Coturnix japonica: one gene and its partner. Each later gene encodes a partner of the first gene's protein in a complex. Links are inferred from orthologs where the notes say so. Each region holds a gene or a part of one and is shown in the gene's direction. Other genes may lie near its edges. The genes, in order: TAF5 and TADA2B.

Evidence for each region.
Region 2: TAF5 (region 1) and TADA2B share a complex: the UniProt entries of both Homo sapiens proteins name them as parts of the TFTC-HAT complex. The link is inferred for Coturnix japonica from reciprocal best matches to the Homo sapiens genes TAF5 and TADA2B.

Annotation. Positions count from the first base shown.
Region 1 is NC_029521.1:20,664,237-20,674,300, forward strand, and holds the end of TAF5 (transcription initiation factor TFIID subunit 5), read left to right. Parts: intron 1-699; coding exon 700-940; intron 941-2,050; coding exon 2,051-2,366; intron 2,367-3,024; coding exon 3,025-3,188; intron 3,189-3,629; coding exon 3,630-3,765; intron 3,766-4,247; coding exon 4,248-4,368; intron 4,369-5,075; coding exon 5,076-5,205; intron 5,206-5,897; coding exon 5,898-6,062; intron 6,063-6,475; coding exon 6,476-6,653; intron 6,654-6,776; coding exon 6,777-6,954; intron 6,955-7,544; coding exon 7,545-7,762; 3' UTR 7,763-9,075; downstream 9,076-10,064. UniProt on the Homo sapiens protein: The TFIID basal transcription factor complex plays a major role in the initiation of RNA polymerase II (Pol II)-dependent transcription.
Region 2 is NC_029519.1:72,520,868-72,531,406, forward strand, and holds TADA2B (transcriptional adapter 2-beta), read left to right. Parts: upstream 1-4,075; 5' UTR 4,076-4,122; coding exon 4,123-4,392; intron 4,393-4,772; coding exon 4,773-5,765; 3' UTR 5,766-9,330; downstream 9,331-10,539. Other genes in the region: CCDC96 (coiled-coil domain-containing protein 96), read right to left, coding at 1,898-2,440, 2,651-3,511, 3,622-4,017. UniProt on the Homo sapiens protein: Coactivates PAX5-dependent transcription together with either SMARCA4 or GCN5L2.

The DNA of each region.
Region 1 (10,064 bases):
AAAGAACAATATGGTACTTGTGGAGAAGGCTTCATGCATTTCTAATGCAAGCTGACAGCAGCTTTAGATGTTTGTCAGGGTAGTAAATTTTAATGAAGATATTCTGTGGGGTAGCTTTACATTAAAACTGGAAGCATTTCAGGAACTTATATGTCCGAATGGCAGTAGGAGTACAATATGAGGTCAGCTTGTTCCTGGCATCACTTTATAGGAGATTAGTGATTTTAAAGACTGCTGTGAGAGTGCTAGGAAGTGACAGAAAGTCACTGCCCTGGAATGGATGTGTAGTGGTCTTGATAAATTGTTCACTTGATTAACTTAATTTGCTTGCTCATTAAAAGCAAAATAATTACAGTGATTACATCTTATGGGCTTAAAAATATTCAGCTCCTCATTTGACAGTTTTTAGCCCTTGCTGTGTAGGATTGTGATGCTGACATCAGCTTCTTTCCACGTACCTGGTAGGCAACTTTTGGCAGGGAGGGCACAAAAGATGACAAATGGTACTTGAAGTATCAGTTGCTGGGCCACTGTCCTCTCTATTGTAGCACTTAAAGGTGCAAACACAAGACAATGTTCTGTTTTGTTCTCAGTATCTCACCTTAGCAGAGGAGTTGTTGGCCACTGTATATTTGTTATTTGTGTGTTGCTCTTTGAGGCAGCTGTACAATCTGTTCTTATATGCTGATGCTTTTGCAGTTGGAGGAGGTGTTGTTGTGGAGGATCAGCCAGATGTGAGCGCAGTGCTGTCTGCCTACAATCAGCAGGGGGACCCAACGCTGTACGAGGAGTACTACAGTGGTTTAAAAAACTTCATTGAGTGTTCCCTGGACTGTCATCGAGCCGAACTGTCTCAGCTGTTTTATCCTCTCTTTGTGCACATGTACTTGGAGTTGGTCTACAATCAACATGAGAGTGAAGCTAAGTCTTTTTTTGAAAGGTAAGTGATTTTGATTCGTGTAATTCCATTGTGTGGTGTTTGCTACTTTGATTAAGACTGTAAGCTGTAGTGGGTGGCATAGGTGTGTGTGTATGTGCATATATACATACACAAACGTGTTCTTTTGTAGTGCTGAGGGGACAATCTGTGGATTGCTGTAATTGTGAATCCTTTTCCAACCTCCAGTATTAGAAAGAAGTGCAAACTCCGTGCTTTTGAACAGTACACATGCAGATTTTCATGGTGTTTATACTGAGGTGGTGGGTTCCTTGCTGCAATGAAGAGATGATGCTGCGTTAGGGAAAATTGTGGGCTCATTTACTAGCACTTGAAAGTTGCACTGAGATCCAAAGCAGTGCAGTCTATAAATGCTTACTAATATCAAAGTATGTGTATTTAAATTCATCTAAGACTAAAGGAAATGGTTAATCATTAATGTACATTTTTCTGTGCTCTTACTGTGTTTCACATCTTTATCACTTGAGGATAAGTTTAATTTGTATTCTGGGATCAGATCAATTATGAAACATTTCGACCCATGTTTATCCCTCAGATATGGTCAGAAAAAGAAGTTCTTTAAATAGATAAAATGTTCCCTGCCACAAGTATCTTATAAATGATTTGAATTAAAAGTGGGAACTTATTTTCTCTAAATGTATGTTGGCTATTAGATAATGTGGGTGGAAAGTGAAGAATGTATCCATTGTTAAATGTGCTTATTCATATGATGAATCAGTTATAAATACATCCAGGTAGTCTTACATAATAAGAAATGCCTTGTACTTTATTGTACCACAAATTGAAGTTTCATTTATGTAAATAGATTAGTGTAACTATTTACTGCAGGCAATAACCCTTTGTGCATATGCATTTCTGTGTCCTCTCTTCATCTTGTTTTTTTGAACTCTTGGTTAATTTTACTGTGTGCTGTAAGTTGTTGATTCCTTGGGAACAAAATTTATTTAAGCAGAAAGCTCATTCCATATGTAGTTCTGTGAGGACCCTTTGGAACCCACTGTGTTTCACGTTAAAATTATCTAGTTAAGTGTGCACTTAGGAGATAATATTTTCCTAATGAATCTCTTCCCACGTGTTAAATTGTTTCAATAGATTTCATGGGGATCAGGAATGTTATTACCAAGATGACCTCCGTGTATTATCCAGCTTAACCAAAAAAGAACACATGAAAGGTAATGAGACCATGCTGGATTTCCGAACAAGCAAGTTCGTTCTGCGTATTTCCCGTGACTCTTACCAGCTCTTGAAGAGGCATCTTCAGGAAAAGCAGAACAACCAGATCTGGAACATTGTTCAGGAACATCTCTACATTGATATATTTGATGGAATGCCCCGTAGCAAACAACAGATAGATGCTATGGTTGGAAGCTTGGCTGGGGAGGCAAAACGAGAGGCAAATAAAGCAAAGGTAGGAGGAAAAGGATGTTGCTCTTTATTATTGAATGCTTTGAGAGTAGTTTTTCAGGAAGTACTATATTTGTTTATATGTATATAATCATACTATATATGATTATTGCTACTTGATATCTTAAAAGACAACATGAACTAAATAAAGGTTCTGTACAAATAGATGTTATCAGTAGTAGAGAAATGAAAATGTGTCACTGACTGGTGGAAGGAACTGTGAGAGACAATGCTATATTCTGTTTGCTGAACTAGATTTAAACTCATGATTTTGTTGTCTAGTTTTAACATTGACCCATTTCGCTTCCTCTCTAGTACAGCAGCAATAGTTCTCACTTCCAGTTATTATTGCAAAGGCTGTTGGGTAGATCTCAATAGCGCAGTACCGCAATGCTACACAAATAAATTATGGAAGTTGTAGGGATTTTGCTTCAGGGAAGAACTAAGAGGTGGTGGGAGAACTCACAGTTGTCCAGGTCAATTGTTGGCTAAAACAGTAGAACGTGTCTTACACTTGTGCCAGGCTAATCAGTAATGAATGCAGTAATGTTCAACTTAGTAGAACTATCCCTTTCCGACTAATGTTTGGAGTCTGATGAAAAATCAGTTTTCAGTAAGAGCAAAAATTACCATTATGTCATACATCTTTTATTGGCTTGCAGGTTTTCTTCGGCTTATTGAAAGAACCAGAGTTCGATGTGCCTTTGGATGATGAAGATGAAGAAGGAGAAAACGAGGAAGGAAAACCAAAGAAGAAGAAACCTAAAAGAGACAGTGTAGGATCAAAAAGTAAAAAACAAGACCCTAATGCTCCTCCTCAAAACAGGTACCAAGGGAGGATGTGTAGGGAACTTCTATTAAATCCAGTATTACCATGTTAAATGTGCAGTGCTGGTCACATGATGTTTTTAGCTCTTTGTCCATTTCAGCCGTAGACAGCTTTAGTTGTAAGATTTCAAGGGGGATAATGCAAACCTTAGCATGTAGCCTTCTGTCTTTGCCCTTCACATCAATCTAGATTTCCCTTGATTTTAGTTGCTTACTGTCTCATCTTTTCAAGCCATACTTAATTAGTTACCTTGTTTCACTACTTGTCTGGATTTCATAAAGCTATTGCTTCTTTTTCTCATCAATCTTTTACACAGTATTTCATTCTTCTGAATTTATTTTGATATTTGAATATTGAGGTGTAGGGTTGCATGGGAAGGTTCAGCTTTCTCTGTTTAAATTGACAATATGGAAAGTTCATAAAAATGTGTGCTTCTAGAATTCCTCTGCCCGAACTGAAAGACTCAGATAAACTGGATAAAGTGATGAACATGAAGGAAGCTGCCAGACGTGTGCGTCTTGGGCCAGAGTGTCTGCCTTCCATCTGCTTCTACACATTCCTTAATGCTTATCAGGTTGGTAAAAAAAAAAGACTTTGGGCAACATGAAAGAGGGAGTCAAAATGATAAACTTCACTCTTAATAAAGAAAGAAGACTGAAGAGTTAATGTTGGTTATCAGAGTATTTGGAACGTTCAAAATTTTATTTATAGACTTCATTAAACTAATTTCCAAGTTCCTTGGGTTTGCTCTGATTTTACCTTAATTCTTTCTTTCACTTTTCCTATGTGACCCTACTCTACAGAATACAGTAGATAGTTTGCACCAAAATACTGGGAAGCAGTTCTGCTCTGTCATCATTAACTACGCCTCATTTATATATCTTTCTTTTTCGTGGTGCAAGAATGTGTGTGTTTATTTCAAGCAAGTGTTTGTCCAAACTATTCTATTTTTATCAAATGAGCATAGTTAATTCTCTTTTTAGTGTTTAGGGTTTGGTAGTGTTTGAAATACACTGTGAAAAATACAAACAACATCAATGGCTATTTTGTCTATAGGGTCTAACTGCAGTAGATATTACAGATGACTCCAGCATGATTGTAGGAGGCTTTGCTGACTCTACCGTCAGAGTGTGGTCCGTGACTCCAAAAAAGCTACGTAGTGTGAAGGCAGCAGCAGGTAATTAAGTAAAAAAAATGTAATGTGAGTGTGTGTTGTTTGTGTTATGTGTGTTTTGTGTGAACAGAAGAATATGTCTATTGGGAGAGTTGTTTTGAGCAGCTGCATCTTGTTACTTTGAAGAAACATTGAGCACGGCTGTATAATTGTGTCTTGTAACTACAAATAGAAATACATATCTTTAAGGGAATGAGGTATCTGGTTGTGTACACCTACTGCTGGGCAGCCTACAAACGAGTGAACTGTTCTTAGTCATTGTGCTGAATCAAAAAGTGCTTGTGGTGTTCAGCAAATAGTAGCCTACAGATTGAAAGCTGTTTTAAGTTGTGTGTAGTGGGAAGCTGTCAGAACATCTGCAAAGTGTGTTTGTGCCGTATTAACTTCCTGGGAAAAGGCATGGAAATTTGTCATCTCAAGAAGTGTGTCCTGAGGCTAAAAAATAAACCCCTCAGGATTTTATCTTTTATGAGGTTTTATCTGTTATGAAGACTTGTTAAAGAGTGGTTATTTACATAAAGCATTATTGCCACCTTTTACAATGGTAGAAGTATTTTAAGTGCCATTGTTTATATTTCACCATTACCTATTTCAAGGTGTTTTTGTTTATGAGTTTTTTTATTGCTTTTGGGGAAAATGCTATTTGTTTTCATGGCATTTGATGAACCTCTGACAGTTGTCATGATGTGTGAACTTTTGAAATCTTGCAGACCTCAGTCTAATTGACAAAGAATCAGACGATGTCTTGGAGAGGATCATGGATGAGAAAACTGCAAGTGAGTTGAAGATTTTATACGGTCACAGTGGACCTGTCTATGGCACCAGCTTCAGTCCTGATAGGTAAAATAAAGTTTACAAGCTAATTAGTTCGCTTGTGTTGAATCTTAATAGTGTGCTATGAATGTGAACGTGTTTATAATGCGGCTTTTACCAGAAGATCAAAGTAACTCTTGTATCTTCTTTAAAATAAGAGATTTGAAAACATTATGTAAGCTACACAAGAGACAACCATCACAGAAATACAGCTGAGAAGTAAGCTTTGTGTGGAACATGATTATAGAATCTATATACAGCCTATAGTCTATATAGAGAGTCTATTCATAATTTGTTAATAATTAAGAAAAAGATTTCATACCGAGTTCACATTCAGGGAATCTTACCATATAGTTTAGAGTTGCATTAAGATTATTCTAAAGTAATATAGTGTAGCAATCTACTGCTTTTTCCCCCCGCATGTGAATGTAATTCTTAAGTGAAGACTAGTTCTTTTTTGCAGCCCCTCTGTATTGCTGTGTCATCAGAATTAATCATCAACATTCAAATGTCTCTTATGCTTGACAACCAAGGGTTCAGTTCTTCCCGAACAGTTTATTGTTGTTTACTTCAGTAAAATGCTGATTTTAATGGGAAATACTAAATAGTAGCTGCCCAGTGGAGAGTTCTATGTATCATAGAATTGTTACAGAGCTTATGCAATGACTACACAGTCTGTTAACTTGGTATGTAATGTACTATACTTTCTCCTGTGACAGGAACTACCTGTTGTCCTGTTCTGAGGATGGTACTGTCAGATTGTGGAGCCTCCAAACATTCACTTGTCTGGTGGGATATAAAGGACACAACTATCCAGTATGGGATACGCAGTTCTCTCCTTATGGGTATTATTTTGTGTCGGGGGGACATGACAGAGTGGCTAGGTAAGAAATTAGATGAGTTTTCTACATACCAGTTTTGTGGTGAATTAACTCAGAAAGTGATTATTGGCTGATATAGTTAATAACCTATTACTGGAAATAAATTTTATTACACACGAATTAAAATACTAAGCAACTATTTTAATATATGTTTGTTTTCCTTTTCAACACACATCAGAGACATCATCCTCCTATGTGGTCATTTCATGTTAGAAATATTTTCTCCTGTTGTTTAATAACCATGACAGAATGTCCTTTATTTCTCCCTTCCCAAAAGCATAGTTTTCCAGAATCGATCCTTCTAATTCAACAAATTTACCAGTAAGAAGCCACTCATTAATTATTTCTTTTATTACCGTGCAACAGATTCTGAACTTCATTAGTGCTCCCTTTATTAACAAAGCTTTTCTTTTCAGACTGTGGGCAACAGATCATTACCAGCCTTTACGGATATTTGCTGGCCACCTTGCTGATGTGACGTGTACTCGATTTCACCCTAACTCCAACTATATTGCCACTGGCTCAGCAGACAGGACTGTACGGCTGTGGGATGTTTTAAATGGGAATTGTGTAAGAATATTCACTGGACATAAGGTAAAGGCACATCACCAATGTGACTTAATTTCTGTGGTGTGATTCTGAAGAGTAGCATTCAGAACAAGTGCAGATTGACTAATTAGCTCGTTTGGCTTTCCTCACTGCAAATGTCTTTTGTAGGGTCCGATTCATTCATTGGCATTTTCTCCTAATGGACGATTCCTGGCTACTGGAGCAACAGATGGCAGAGTTCTGCTGTGGGATATTGGACATGGTTTGATGGTTGGAGAACTGAAAGGGCACACTGACACTATCTATGCGCTCCGATTCAGTAGAGATGGGGAGATCTTAGCATCAGGTAAAAGTCACTGGAAGCAAACATGTTTCCATTGTGCTCCATCTGTTTGAAGTGGGATTATGTAATGATAATGTACCTTAAGCTGAGTAAGGCTAATTAGAATCACTAAATCCTGAGTGAGCCGCTACCACAAGAGTGAATGGTTCCTTCAGCTGACCAGTGCTCCAATGAAAGCAGAGTCCACTGGGCCTGCAAAATACTGAGCTCTTCCCTCTATCAAAGGAAGTATCCAAGTGTCAAGAAAAAAGTCATTATGTGACTTAGAATCATAAACATCTGGTGGAGTTGGCATGTAGGCCTAAGGTTGTTTTGCCTTTTCAAGTGCTGGCTGATAGAATGGAAACCCAGCTGTTCTCAGAGGTGCTTCTTGGCACTTTATCTGCAGTGCATTCCTGTTAGATGGCAGGTGATGGCTTTTATTCCTGCTTTCACTGTGTTAAAGGCTTGTTTAAAAATGCTTCGTTGCAGGATGAGTGCTTAGTATTCAGTTATGAGCTGTTCTGCTTTGTGAGTTTTAATTCCTGTTGTGTTAATTTGCTGTCTAGCAAGGAAAAGACTTTTAAATGTTACTTTCCTTTTTTCCCTTGTAGGTTCAATGGATAACACAGTTCGGCTGTGGGATGCAGTGAAAGCATTTGAAGACTTAGAAACGGATGACTTTACTACAGCCACTGGACACATAAACTTGCCTGAAAACTCCCAGGACTTGTTACTGGGTACATACATGACCAAATCAACTCCAGTTGTACACCTTCATTTTACACGCAGGAACTTGCTGCTGGCTGCAGGAGCCTACAGTTCACAGTAGATCAGGAAGACGTAAGACTGGCTGTGCCAAGTTGTTGCAGCAGTGACCTCAGAATGTGAGATGAAGAGGAATGTCTTGTATGGGTGGACTTTGTTAGTCCATTGCAGGAAAAACAAAACTGTAAACTAACTCAAGTGACATCTTCTCTATTCTGCTCTCGTAATTCACATCTTTTGCTCTCACAGTTTGAAAATGCTGGAGACTGACAAGACAGTGTGAATTTAAAGGAATTGTTTCATGGTGCTTTTGATAAATGTATCCATATGTATATATATACATACATACATGTATATATATGACAATGGCTGTCTCCTCTCAGAGATGGTATTGAGCTCTGCTGAAACTTCTGGAAAGTTAACAGCCCTGGTCTGTGTTCTCAAATGAGTTTTTTTAAAGCACTTAATATATGGTTTGCTAATGTTTAATCAGTCTCAAACACAGGTGAAAACTTCAGACTCAGAAAAGGAGAATGTAGTTTAACTCACTATAGCCTGGGCTGGGCAACAGGAATGGTGAGAATATTATAGCAACAAATAGGGCATTGAAAGAATAAGCCCAACAGGCAGAGGCTTGTGGGGAACTGCAGAGAAGTTACGTGTAGTTTTTAAGTACCAAGTCCTGAAAAGATTTCAAACTTTGTGCTCTTTTGAGGTATTAGAAATGGAGATCTTGTTATTCTGTTCTGACAAGAAGCTGCTGCTGTGCGATAAGGAACGCAGATTGCAATGTGAATTCTTTGGAGACACGCATCACCCAATCTTAAAAACAATATTCTTAAGCCCCCACACGTTCTATTAGATTTGAAGAGCTTCAAAAACCTGCATCCTTTGAGAAAACAGTTTAACAGATCACACTAAAGCTAGTGAAGGATCAAGAAACTGAAATCTGAATTCAAGAAAAAGAAATCTGCTGGCTCTCTACTGAAGATGCAGAAAACCAAGACTTGACGTTTCCAAGGTAAACAAAGAACTACCTCCTGTCTCATCCTTTTTCTGACTAAGCCTTGGAGTAAAGAGGCATCGGGGCATTAAATGTCAAAGGAAAGGTGGAAAATTCATAAGGAAGCTAATCCAGAAACATTCTTTAAAGAGAAATGGTTAAAACTAAACTATGATGGATTTGATCTGTAAAGGTACATCAGAACTTCCTAGTAGTCAATACGATCAGCTGGACTTAAAATGGTAGTGAATCAAACAAGTTACCTAAAAGCATGTACAGCTTTGAGAGCTTGAAGAAAACACTGCTGCATTCTGCCTTTTTATTTTGTACAGTTTTATACTTTTGATAGTATAATAAATACTAAAACCACACAGCTTGTGTCTGTAGACTGTATGGTGGAAGAAGATGCTTTCTTTCCTTGACAGCTGCAGTGGATGTGAGAGCAATGCTTTTAAAAGCGAGTGCTCTGCTTGGAGAAACAAGGGAGTTAGTTCAACAGCTGATGATTTAACTAAGATTTAGTTCTAATTGTATGTGATACATTTTTGCCAAGCATTACAGTTACAACAACTATTGTTCCTCTGGAAGGACATAAAGGGCAGAGGCTGATGTAAACAGAATGGAAAGACTACATTTACTCAGAAGGATGGCTTTAATAATAAATTAAGGATGGAGATCACAAGAACCTCATGTAATTTCCCCTGACCTACACTCTTTCTGCCAGCACCCACATTTACCTGCTGCTATTAAGTTTGGGGTTTTTGAGAAAGTAAAATCGCTCCATGGTGGGATGTTCTCACTCAAAACCAAAGGATTTTATGCAAAAAACAGGCAACTGACACTGCAGCTGACTGCTATTCTGCATTGCATTACCATTAATTAATTAAGTAATGGATTCCACGTAAGCTAATAGCCAGAAGCGTTAAAAAAGGGAGTAACCAGCACAACCGAGTAATTGTAAGCCATGCAAGTTTACTGATGTCCAGTATGACACTTGGCAACATAGAGATGCTTTGAGCAGCTGTAAGCTCTGTGCTTGTTGGGATCATGCTGCTGAGATCGTTCCTCAACTATTAAGTGCTCAGGTCATTTTAGGATGTGTTACAGCAGAGAAGATAAAATACTCAGGAAAGAATCAGCTACTCCATCTCCATTACAAATTATCTTTAAAATAGGAAATAGCACCCACTTCTGCTTCTTTGCACCATGTCATATTATCAATACAGCAAATAATTGTTTATATTTTATTAACCATCGCAGGACATCAGCTTCCTTTACATTGACACAAATTGATGCTTCAGACATGCCAGAAACCTGCCAAGAGATGAGAGCAAACATTACTATCACTGCACAAGGCTTGTGA
Region 2 (10,539 bases), on another chromosome or scaffold:
AATACTCTCTCATGAAGGGCATGAGAGGCCTAACATCTGCAGCATTTGCACTATGCTTTAAAGGATTTCTGAAACACACAGACAACTCTCCCTGGTGGGCTGTGTAGGAGGTGCTGTAACTGGCTGTGTGAATCAGTCTGCGTTGTAACTTGGTGTGTGTTTCTGTTGAACCCAAGTTGTCCGTGTGGCTCACCTGTCTGGTTGGGATGCATCCTGGAGCCACTGGGTGTTTGTCTCAGCCATCTGCAGCCTGTTTTCTTCTCAAAAACACATTGAATGTAACAGTGAAAATAGGCATAGTTGTGAGAAAAGGCCTGCTGCAACACTTGTGCACTGTTTGTTACTTGCAAATGTAATTATTTTGGTCTGTGATTCGATCTTTCTGTTCTTAGGAGATGTATATATTTTCCAGATGATTTCTTTGTGTATATAAGGTATGTTCTTTAATGAAGAAAAGCAATGCAATAAGGAGGAGCTTTGCACAGTTTATTATCAAACAAAATGCATTTGAAAACAAAATGACCTGCCTAAAGATGCAATTGTTCCAACCTCTCAGTAACTTGAAGACTACACTTGAATTTTGATATGAACAGAGATGAGTTGTAATGGCTTAGAATTACTTGCCACCAAGCTTGTTAAGTTCCTTGCGGCATACCAAATCTCTTCAATATTATGGAAGGTTTCTGTAATCGATTCAGGGATTGCATAACAAATAGTGACACCGTTACTTCAGGTGCTGAAGGCGATTTGTAACGTCACGCGTGACGTGTTCTCTCATTGAAGCGTCCCCATCTCAGCAGACTATTGTTTTCTTGGTGGGTTTCCACCATCACCGTACGAACAGATCAGAGAATCCAGAGCATTGTCACCAGCTTTGGAGTTTTGTACAACCCGCACTTTATTGCAAAGCCGTTTTGCAGCCGCCGTCAGCAATCAGTCATTAACGTGTCTCATTTGATTCAGTCTGGGTTGGAAGGTTCCTTCCAGCAGCTCATTTTTGAATGTTTTACAAACTGGACGCATAGAGAACTGTTGAGACATCCTCTGTACATCATGGTTCAGTCATTTTTATGTAGCTGGTTTCGTTTAGATACGTGTATCAAACTGGAACTTTTTTCAACTGTAAATATATGGTTTTATTAAATAAAGTCATGTAAAGTTACCTTAATCACCTGCTGTCGGTGCGACTGAGAAACCGAAAGCTCAGGTATCTCCTCCTTCCACAGTTTGGTCTCCAAAGATGTTCAGCAAATGTGGATGGATGTCAGGGGCGCCATTTTTTCCATGTGGAGAAACACAGCGACACATTTCCTTCCTACGCATGTACTTTCTGTCAGACAGCCTCTGCTGCTCACCATGAGCTGTATGATCATCCCTGTGTGGCACCTTCTCCCTCCCTTCCCCCTTTTTTCAGTCTTCTGGCTTTCTGATGCGCTGTCCTTGAACAGTGCAAAGGGCCTGTAGCTGTGGTGGGCTTGTGCTATTCCATCCCCACCACACACCACATGGTGCCTGCTAAAGCTCTAACAGCTGAAAGACCACAAAATTCAGACTAGTTTGGAATGAGAAATTTAATAGACATATTTGGAGCAGTAACCTTTCATCCTGTACAGCACCATAATGAAATTTGCAGCCAGTTCTGTCAACAGAATGAGGGTGTTAGTCCTTCTATAGTACGCTGTGTGTATGCAAGTGGGGTTTGCTGTGAATCCCCAGCATTCCTCCAGCTCGCAGCTCCATCTATGAAAGTTAACCTTGAGTTAATTCTCCAGGTCTCCTGGACCTGTGTAGAAGTCACACGTGGTGGTTGTACAGATTGTTACTGGATTGAACATGTTAAAAAGAGGATTACAGAAAAGGCTGCGCTTTCTCTATTTTCAATGCTTTACTTCCCTCATCAAGGTAGAAATGATTTGGCTTTGCTCATTTTTTTCTGAATCTCCCTCTCTTTGAGGATCAGAGCAGCGTGGCGATGTTTCAGTGCTTCCAGCTGCCGATGTAACAACTCCATGTTGTTCACCTTTTCCTCAAAGTCCCTCAGCAGTGTCTCCTCCCCAAGCAGGCCGCGCTGCTGCAGTAGTTTCACGCTGTGTGCCCTCAGCCTGTCTCTGACCTTCTTGCTCTTGGTCAGAGCGTCTCTCTTCTGCCTCAGGGCGCTCATGATGTCCCTCAGCTCAGCCTTGTGGCCTTGGTTCTCAGCTTCCGCAAACTGCAGCTTCTCCCTGATGTAGTTGAGGGTCCGTTCTACGTCAGCTACTTTCCTCTTGAGCTTCAGAACTTCGCAGTTGAGGCCTTCGAGCTTTTCGTTGAGCTGCTGGTTCTCTTTCTTCATGAGACTGATCTCTGCGCGGTTGCTGCCTTTCATCGATTCTCTCTGGGCTCTCAGGATCCTCTCAAGTTTTCGGACCTCAAGCTTCACCTTGATGTTTTCCAGCCGGGCCTGGAGGGGCGGAAGAACACAAGGGATGGAATCACACGAGGGATGGATGGAGGCACACGAGGGATGGATGGAGGCACGCGAGGGATGGATGGAGGCACACGAGGGATGGCTCCCCGCCCCTCATCCCCGGCTCGGCAGGGAAGGAGCTCGGCGCAGACGGAGGGCTGAACCCTTCGTGTTCGCGGCCGGACCCGGCGGTGCCGCACTCACCTCCCGCAGTGCGGCCTCCTTGTCCTTCTCCCGAGCCTGGATGTCCCCCACCGTCCTTAGGGCCGCCTCCCTGCCGCCCCGCCGCCGCTCGAGTGTCTGCACGGCCACGGCTTTCTTCCTCGCCTGGAAGGCGGCCCACGCGGCTCTGGCCCTGGCCTCGCTCTCCTCGCTGTCCTTCTGCCGTTCGTCCACCCGCAGCTTCCAGCTCTCTGCCTCCCGCTCCCTCCGCCCCCAAAGCTCCCGCAGCTCCCGCAGCCGCTCCGCGAACAGCTGCTGCCCGCCCGCCTCGTCCGCCCGCCGCTCGCTCCGCTGCGGCCTCAGCAGCTCCGCCAGCAGCAGCTGCAGGCGGCTCTCGGTCTGGTGCAGCCGCTGCCGCTCGGACTCCAGCTCGCGGTACTCGGCCAGCAGCTCGTCGCGCTCCCTTTCCTCCTCCTCCTCGGCTTCGTCGCGGCACTCGGCCTCCTCCGCTTCGCCTTCGGGCTGCGGGGGCTCCGCAGGCTCCGTCGGGCCCTCGGGCTCCTCGCTGTCCTCGCTCAGCGCGTCGCGTTCGCTCTCGGAGACTTCGCCATCCCCGGGCTGCTCAGCCGGGGGCTCCTCCAATACCGAGGGCTCCTCCAATACCGGGGGCTCCTCCAATACCGAGGGCTCCTCCAATACCGGGGGCTCCTCCAATACCGGGGGCTCCTCCAATACCGGGGGCTCACTCAATACCGGGGGCTCCTCCGGCGTCGACGCCGGAGGCTCCTCGGCCGGGGGTTGCTCCAATGCCGGGGGCTCCTCGGCCGGGGGTTGCTCCAATGCCGGGGGCTCCTCGGCCGGGGGTTGCTCCCAGATAGCCGGGGCTCCTCGGGCCCCGGGTTGCTCCAATCCGGGGCTCCTCGGCCGGGGGTTTGCTCCTCAAAATGCCGGGGGCTTTCTCGGCCGGGGGTTTTGCCCAAGCCGGGGGCCTTCCTTCGGCCCGGGGGTCTTGCCTCCCAATGCGGAGGCTGCCTCCGGCCGGGGTTGCTCCCAATGGCCGGGGGCTCCTCGGCCGGGGGTTGCTCCAATGCCGGGGGCTCCTCGGCCGGGGGCTCCTCCGTTGCCGGGTTCTGGCCGTTCCCGTCCATGTCTCCTCCCGTTCGCTTCCCCCGTTGCCCGGGTGACTGCTCTGCTCTGTCCCGGCCCCGCCCCTTTCCCCGCCCTCTCTCCCCGGCCACCACTGAGCGGCAGGTTCGCCCGGGGTCACGTCTCCGATTGGTCGCCCGAAAGGCGGCAGGGCTCCGCTCGGCCAATCGCAGCCTCTCGTTCACACGAATCCCCCCCGCCAACGGGCGTTTCGCCCCCATTGGCCGCGATCCGGAGGGGCAGCCCGAGCTCTCGTCACCCATTGGCCGCCCGGCGCGAGGCTCCTCCCGGCGGGAGCGCCGCCATTGGCCGCGTGTGAGCGGGGGCGGGGCCGCGCGTGCGCGCGGGGAGGCGGCGGGCGGGGTAAGATGGCGGAACTGGGGAAGAAGTACTGCGTGTACTGCCTGGCCGAGGTGAGCTCACTGCGCTTCCGCTGCACTGAGTGCGCAGACATCGAGCTCTGCCCCGACTGCTTCTCGGCCGGAGCCGAGATCGGCCCGCACCGCCGATGGCACGGCTACCAGCTGGTGGACGGCGGCAGATTCACCTTATGGGGCGCCGAGGCGGAGGGTGGATGGAGCAGCCGGGAGGAGCAGCTGCTGCTGGACGCCATCGAGCAGTTCGGGTTCGGAAACTGGGTAAGGAGAGTAAGGGCTGTAAGGGTGCGGGGCATCGAGCTGCTCCGAGCTCGGCTGGTCTCTATGTGCCTGTCCTGTGTAGCGCTGCGCTCTGGGTACAGGATTTCTTCCTAACATCCCCAACTTCAGTATCCCTGCTTTCAGCTTGAAGCCGTGCCCCTTTTCTTTATTTATTTCTCTATTACTTTCTTTATTTCTCTGTTGCTCCAAAAGTAATGCTGTAAAACAGAACTCTGGCAGGTGACACATTGAGCTCAGGGACTCAGGAGCCATCGTGGTGTCTTGTGAATCAGTTTTTGAGGGGCAGGGAAGAAGGAGCGAGTGCTGTGCTGGAGGTATAACGGGAACCTTCTTATTGCCCCTCCTTGTTTTCCATTTAGGAAGACATGGCCGCTCACGTGGGAGCATCCCGGACACCCCAGGAGGTGATGGAGCACTACGTGAGCATGTACATCCACGGCAACCTGGGCAAGGCCTGCATCCCCGACACCATCCCCAACAGGGTGACGGACCACACGTGTCCCAGCGGGGGGCCTCTCTCCCCCAGCCTGACCACGCCGCTCCCGCCCTTGGACATCTCGGTGGCTGAGCAGCAGCAGTTGGGCTACATGCCGCTACGGGACGACTACGAGATCGAATACGACCAGGATGCTGAGACACTGATCAGCGGCCTGTCAGTGAACTACGACGATGATGACGTGGAGATAGAATTGAAAAGAGCTCACGTAGACATGTACGTAAGAAAACTCAAGGAGAGGCAACGGCGGAAGAACATTGCGAGAGATTATAACTTGGTGCCGGCCTTCCTGGGGAAGGATAAGAAAGACAAGGAGAAAACTCCCAAACGAAAGATCACGAAAGAAGAGAAGGAGTTGAGGCTGAAACTGAGGCCTCTGTACCAGTTCATGTCCTGTAAGGAGTTTGAAGACTTCTTTGAGAACATGCACAAGGAAAGGGTGCTGCGAGCAAAGATCCGGGAGCTGCAGCGGTACCGGCGGAATGGGATCACCAAAATGGAAGAGTCGGCGGAATACGAGGCAGCCAGACATAAACGGGAGAAGAGGAAGGAGAACAAAAACATTGCCAGCTCCAAGAGGGGGAAGGAGGACGGCAAAGAAGGGGAATTTGCTGCCATTGAAAACCTGCCTGGTTTCGAACTCTTATCGGACAGGGAAAAAGTGCTTTGCAGCTCTCTGAATTTGAGTCCTGCGCGTTACGTGACTGTAAAAACCATCATCATTAAAGACCATCTTCAGAAAAGACAAGGGATTCCTTCCAAGAGCCGCCTCCCCAGTTACCTGGATAAGGTACTGAAGAAAAGGATTTTAAACTTTCTAACAGAGAGCGGTTGGATATCCAGAGACGTGTCATGAGGCCCATCCATCTGAGCCACCGCATCAGAGACCTGACAAGTTCCCTTCCTTTTCCTGCCCTCGCTGGAGATACAGAAATTATCTCATTCAAAACAGACAAACAAAAACAAAAGAAGCAAAAACAACCCCCCCCCCCCCCCGCGGTGCTTGTGGGCTGAGCTCCCAGCACACTTTTGCTTTGGGTCATGAAAAACCCTGAATTGTGAAACTTCTCCATTCGGTTGCATTACTCGTTAGAGTACACTGTTGTTACATTACTCAAAGAGATTGCTTTCATGTGAGCCTACTCAAGTCCGATGGTTCTGGGGTGATCACTTCACTCCTTACTGTTGGATCAATGTCAATGTCAGCCATAATCTTTGCCTTTTATTTTCCTTTTCTTTTTGTTTTCGGAGGTGAGAGCTGGTTTTCAGCAGCTGAGTTCTTCTTCTCCCTGATGTTTTTTGTCACAGTGATGGCAGCCAAGCAGAGCTTGCAGAAATCCTGAGCTGTCAGATGTGGGGTGCAGGGATTGGTGTGGCCGTTGCTGAGCTTTTGGAGCGCTGCCATTAGCACAGCCCAGGTGTCAGGATGTGGGGTGAGAGCTTCCGTGGGGTGCAGCGCTGGTGAGCTGTGATGGGGGTTGGTAGATGAGGTGCCTGCAGGTATTTGTGCTGTGTGTGAAGGCTTCTTGGAGAGCTGCCTGACCCAAGTGTAAGCTTGGCTGGGCAGCTGTGTGCTCTGCACTGGGCTCAGCACTGCAGTGAAGTGTTTGGTTCTGGCCAGCTGTGGCTTAGAGCGGGCAGAATGCTGCCCTGGCAACCTCAGGTGGTGAAATAACCTCTTCCTTTTGCAAGGAGAACCTGCTCTTCCTCTCCTGTTTGTTGTGCCCAGCATGTGTAGCCTGAGCTCTTGCAGCTGCCTCCTGAGAGCTGCTGGGAGGGATGGGGACAGGGAGCTCCGTTCTGAAGCTCATAGCGGCCACTGAGATTGGTTTGTACAAACTAAAAAGGAAAGTATATAGATGACAACGCACAGCTCTGTGCTCCTGGAGTGCAGAGCGGTGGATGCAGCCGTCGCAGCTTTCTGGCTGCATGTACCTCCAAACCTTCTGGACTAAATGTGCCGAAGTTTCCGCTGTGGTTGGCAGAATGGATCTCGGTTTGCCGCAGTGGCCACTTTGGTGTTGTTGTGTTGTCAGAGCTCTCTGAGGGCTGCGCTCCCTGCCACACAGGGCTGGAGTTACAGAGCAGCAGAACACAATAGAAACACCTCACCCACCCCACTGTATTAGTAGTATATACCGGTTAAGGGAAAGGTGTTCAAGGAGGAGCAGAGGCGGCCTTTCTTTATCGTCATTTCATTCTTAGATTCCTGTGCTGGCATCCAGCCACGTGAAATTAATAAAGGAGAGTGGATTCTGTGTGACAGACATCAGTGTTATCACACCTGGGCTGTGCGTGGTGGCTGGCTGGGCAGCAGCTCCACTGTGTGGGTGTGCCAGGAGGTGGAGCTGAGTTGAGAACAGCTGTGAACACGGGAGGTGCGCTCTGGTTCTGGTGCCGCGGGCTGTGGTCAGAGAGGAGCCCCCGACATCTTACAAACAGTATTAATTCTGCAGCTTGGCAGAGCTACGCTGACCAGAACTGGTTTTGAGTCAGTATCTCCAGCGTTATCAGAGTAGTGTTACCACTGAGTTTAGAATACAGAGAGTACAGTTATAAAGCCAGCATTTCTAAGGAGAAGGGGAAAAATAACACACAAAAAAGCTCTTAGTGCCTTTTTGTTTTGAGCTTGTGGTGTTACGTCCCTCCAGGAAAGGAAAGGGCTGTGTGCTCTGGAGGAGTGCTTTGGCTCACCTGGAAGTGGCTTCTCGGGCACTTGAGACAGCGTTGTAACTCACTGCAGTGTGCCAGTAGCTTTAAGAACCTCTTCCACCTACATGCACGTACAGAGCGCACGCGAGACAAGTTCAGAAGGTGTGAACTGTTGATTATTTCCTCTGTCCTTCTCCTGTGGAAAGGAAGCTCAGCCTTTCCAGCCTTGGAGTTATGCAATTCGGTTCTTCCTCTGCCCGGCTCTGGCTGCAGCTGGGAGGTTAACACAGATGTGGGTTTCTGATTTATTCCTATCTTCCTCAGATCTCAATTTTATATTCCTACGGTGCTTTGGCACACCTAAGCCTAACTGAAGCAATAGCCTAAAGCCCATCTGAACAGTAATTGAAGAATAAAAGTATCTCGGCACCAATGACTCATTTAGACGTTGTAGAACTGAATTCTGCATTCACTTTGTAGTTCCTGAATTCCTCAGCCCTTCCAAAATGTTTCTTTGGTGCTAGACGTAACTTATTGAACATCAGGATGAATGTAAAATAAAGTATTTTTAATGTATGAGATATGGATATCGATATTTATTTTATATTTGCAAGCAGATTCAAGGTGGTAAATGTTTGCTGTAGCAAATGCTGATCCCTTGGAAAGGGTTTCCCTAGAAGCAGCGTCTCACTGTCAGCTATGCTGTCGATTCTAAAGGTGACTTGCACTAGAGGATGCTGCTGTCCCGTGTTTTCAGATGGAACTGACATAGTCTAAGCATTCCTTTGTTACGAGCTGCTGTTTTGTTTTCTCAAGCACAGATGCAGTTATCTTAAGCTGGCGATTTAGTAGAGCTGTGCTGCTTCTCGTGTGGTGAAGGGGCTGAGAAAAAGCGATGCAAAAACTCTTCAACTTTGTGTCTTGTGTTTGTCAGGAAGCACTTCCTGTACTGTACCGATACCCTGGCCTTCGTGTTGCTAATGAAGAGGTGCTTGGTTGGTTTGTTTGTTTAATGCTTAATGCTCTTATTTTTGAATGAAAAAATAATGCTAACGATAGGATCTGCCCTAACAGCATTGATGCAAGCCGATGGAAAAGTGCTGTCAGCTGCTCAGTCTGACCTGCTGCTGGTAGATGGCGGCAGTCGGCCTGTTGTATTGCTGTACACGTGCTTCCATCAGTCTCAGCCGTGCGTTACAGTACAACTTACTGAGTAGCAAAGGAGCATTAACCTTCATTCTGTGCATACAACAGATGAGGAGGGCTCCTTACAGCGTCCTGCTTACAGCCCTTCCTGCCCTATGTTCTGTTGCAGTCCCAGCCAGGGTTAAGAATGGCATTAAGAGGTGTTGGAGCCTCTGCCTGTAAATGGCCTTGTGGATCACAAAGCTGAAGCACTCTGTCGTTCTTCTCTTGCATGGTGGCTGCACTGGGTTTCTTTGCAATTGTAATCGGCTGCGTCAGCCTTTTGGTTTACTGCTCTTCCTTGCAAGGTGTTTTTGCTTGTGCCCCAGGTGCTCTTAAGTGATGACGAATTCAATACTGTGAAGGAGGGTACCTGGTGAGCACCTCTGGTTCATCAGCTTCTTCCTTAAAGGGAATGTTGCACTCATTTGCATAGTGTACTGGCGTAGCTGTGCCAGGCACACAAATGTCTGTGCTGAAATCATGTAAAACCTAACTGATGTTGTGCACACTCAGCATTTTACTAGATTTTTGCATTGTATATTGGTAAATAAACTTGTATTAAAGTTTCTTTCCACTATTGATTTCATGGTAACGTAGCCCTTTTCCTCATTGTACCAGCCAAAGCCCTGGCAGCAGTGACCAGAGATGTGTTTTAGCTACATGCTGATGCGTGAAGTGCTTGTAACAAACCAGCTTAGGCCAGAGGTAGCAGTGGCAGCTTTATTAGCTGTTCTTACACTTCAGAGCCACACACTTTTTCATTTCTTCACTGTATTCTGCTGTCATCTGTCAGCACACGGGTGCTTGGAGAGCTCAGCAAAGGCTTTCCTGTATGCTACCTCCTCTGCAGGGGCACACTGAGGAGAAGGAATTATTTCACTCAGACGTTGTTCAGAATTCACTTAGTTTTAAGGAAACAAGCTTGAGTCCTGTGCTGCACACTCACCAGTAAGCTGCGTTTAGCGGTACCTTAAATAAAGTAACGGAGTCTAACAAAGACACCATCTAAGGAGCTGGTCAATTCATTACTAAAATCTCAGTCTCAACTGACACGTGAACTTAAGAAGCTCCTTTGTTCAAACCACCAGCAGTGAGGATGGAAAATTCAGAAGCCCTTACTGTTCCACTACCAGGTCCTAAATAACGTGTGTGATTCTGATGTTTCAGTCTGGTGTGTTACATGTATGTGCCTTGAGGATCTGAGGGAAGACACTCTGTCAGGTGTGTAGATTGGCATGTCCCATCCATTCAACATGACCAGATGAACATAGAGCAGAGCACTCTGCCGCTCTTGGCACAGTATTTTAGCCTCATTCTGCAGAATGGGGTGCAGCAGGTGCAGTTACACGTGATGAGAGCTGCACATGGGAAAAGTTCTATTGCAGCCCAAGATCCAAGGTGAGCAAACACAAGAAATGAAACTGAGTTCACACTGTTGTTTGAGTCACTTACAATTACTTGTGTAGCTCTAAATGTAGCAGATACCACTTCAGGTATTCTGACTCTCAGTGGAGTTTTAACTACATCTTGCATAACAAACCGATGGCAGAGCTTGAAAGTTACAAGTCTATCAAAATCCATTAAATCAATTTAAATATTAAATTAAAAATCCAGAGATAGATAGGATAAGTAAGTTGTATTGGTTCTTCAATGCCATACAAGTATTAGATGGTTTTCTTGAGTCAATCAACTTAACTTGACTATTGATCTAAAAGGGCTGAACAATTAGAAAGGATGTCTGCTCTCCCTCATCTTTTATTTAGAGGTCAGAATTCACAAACATTTGTACT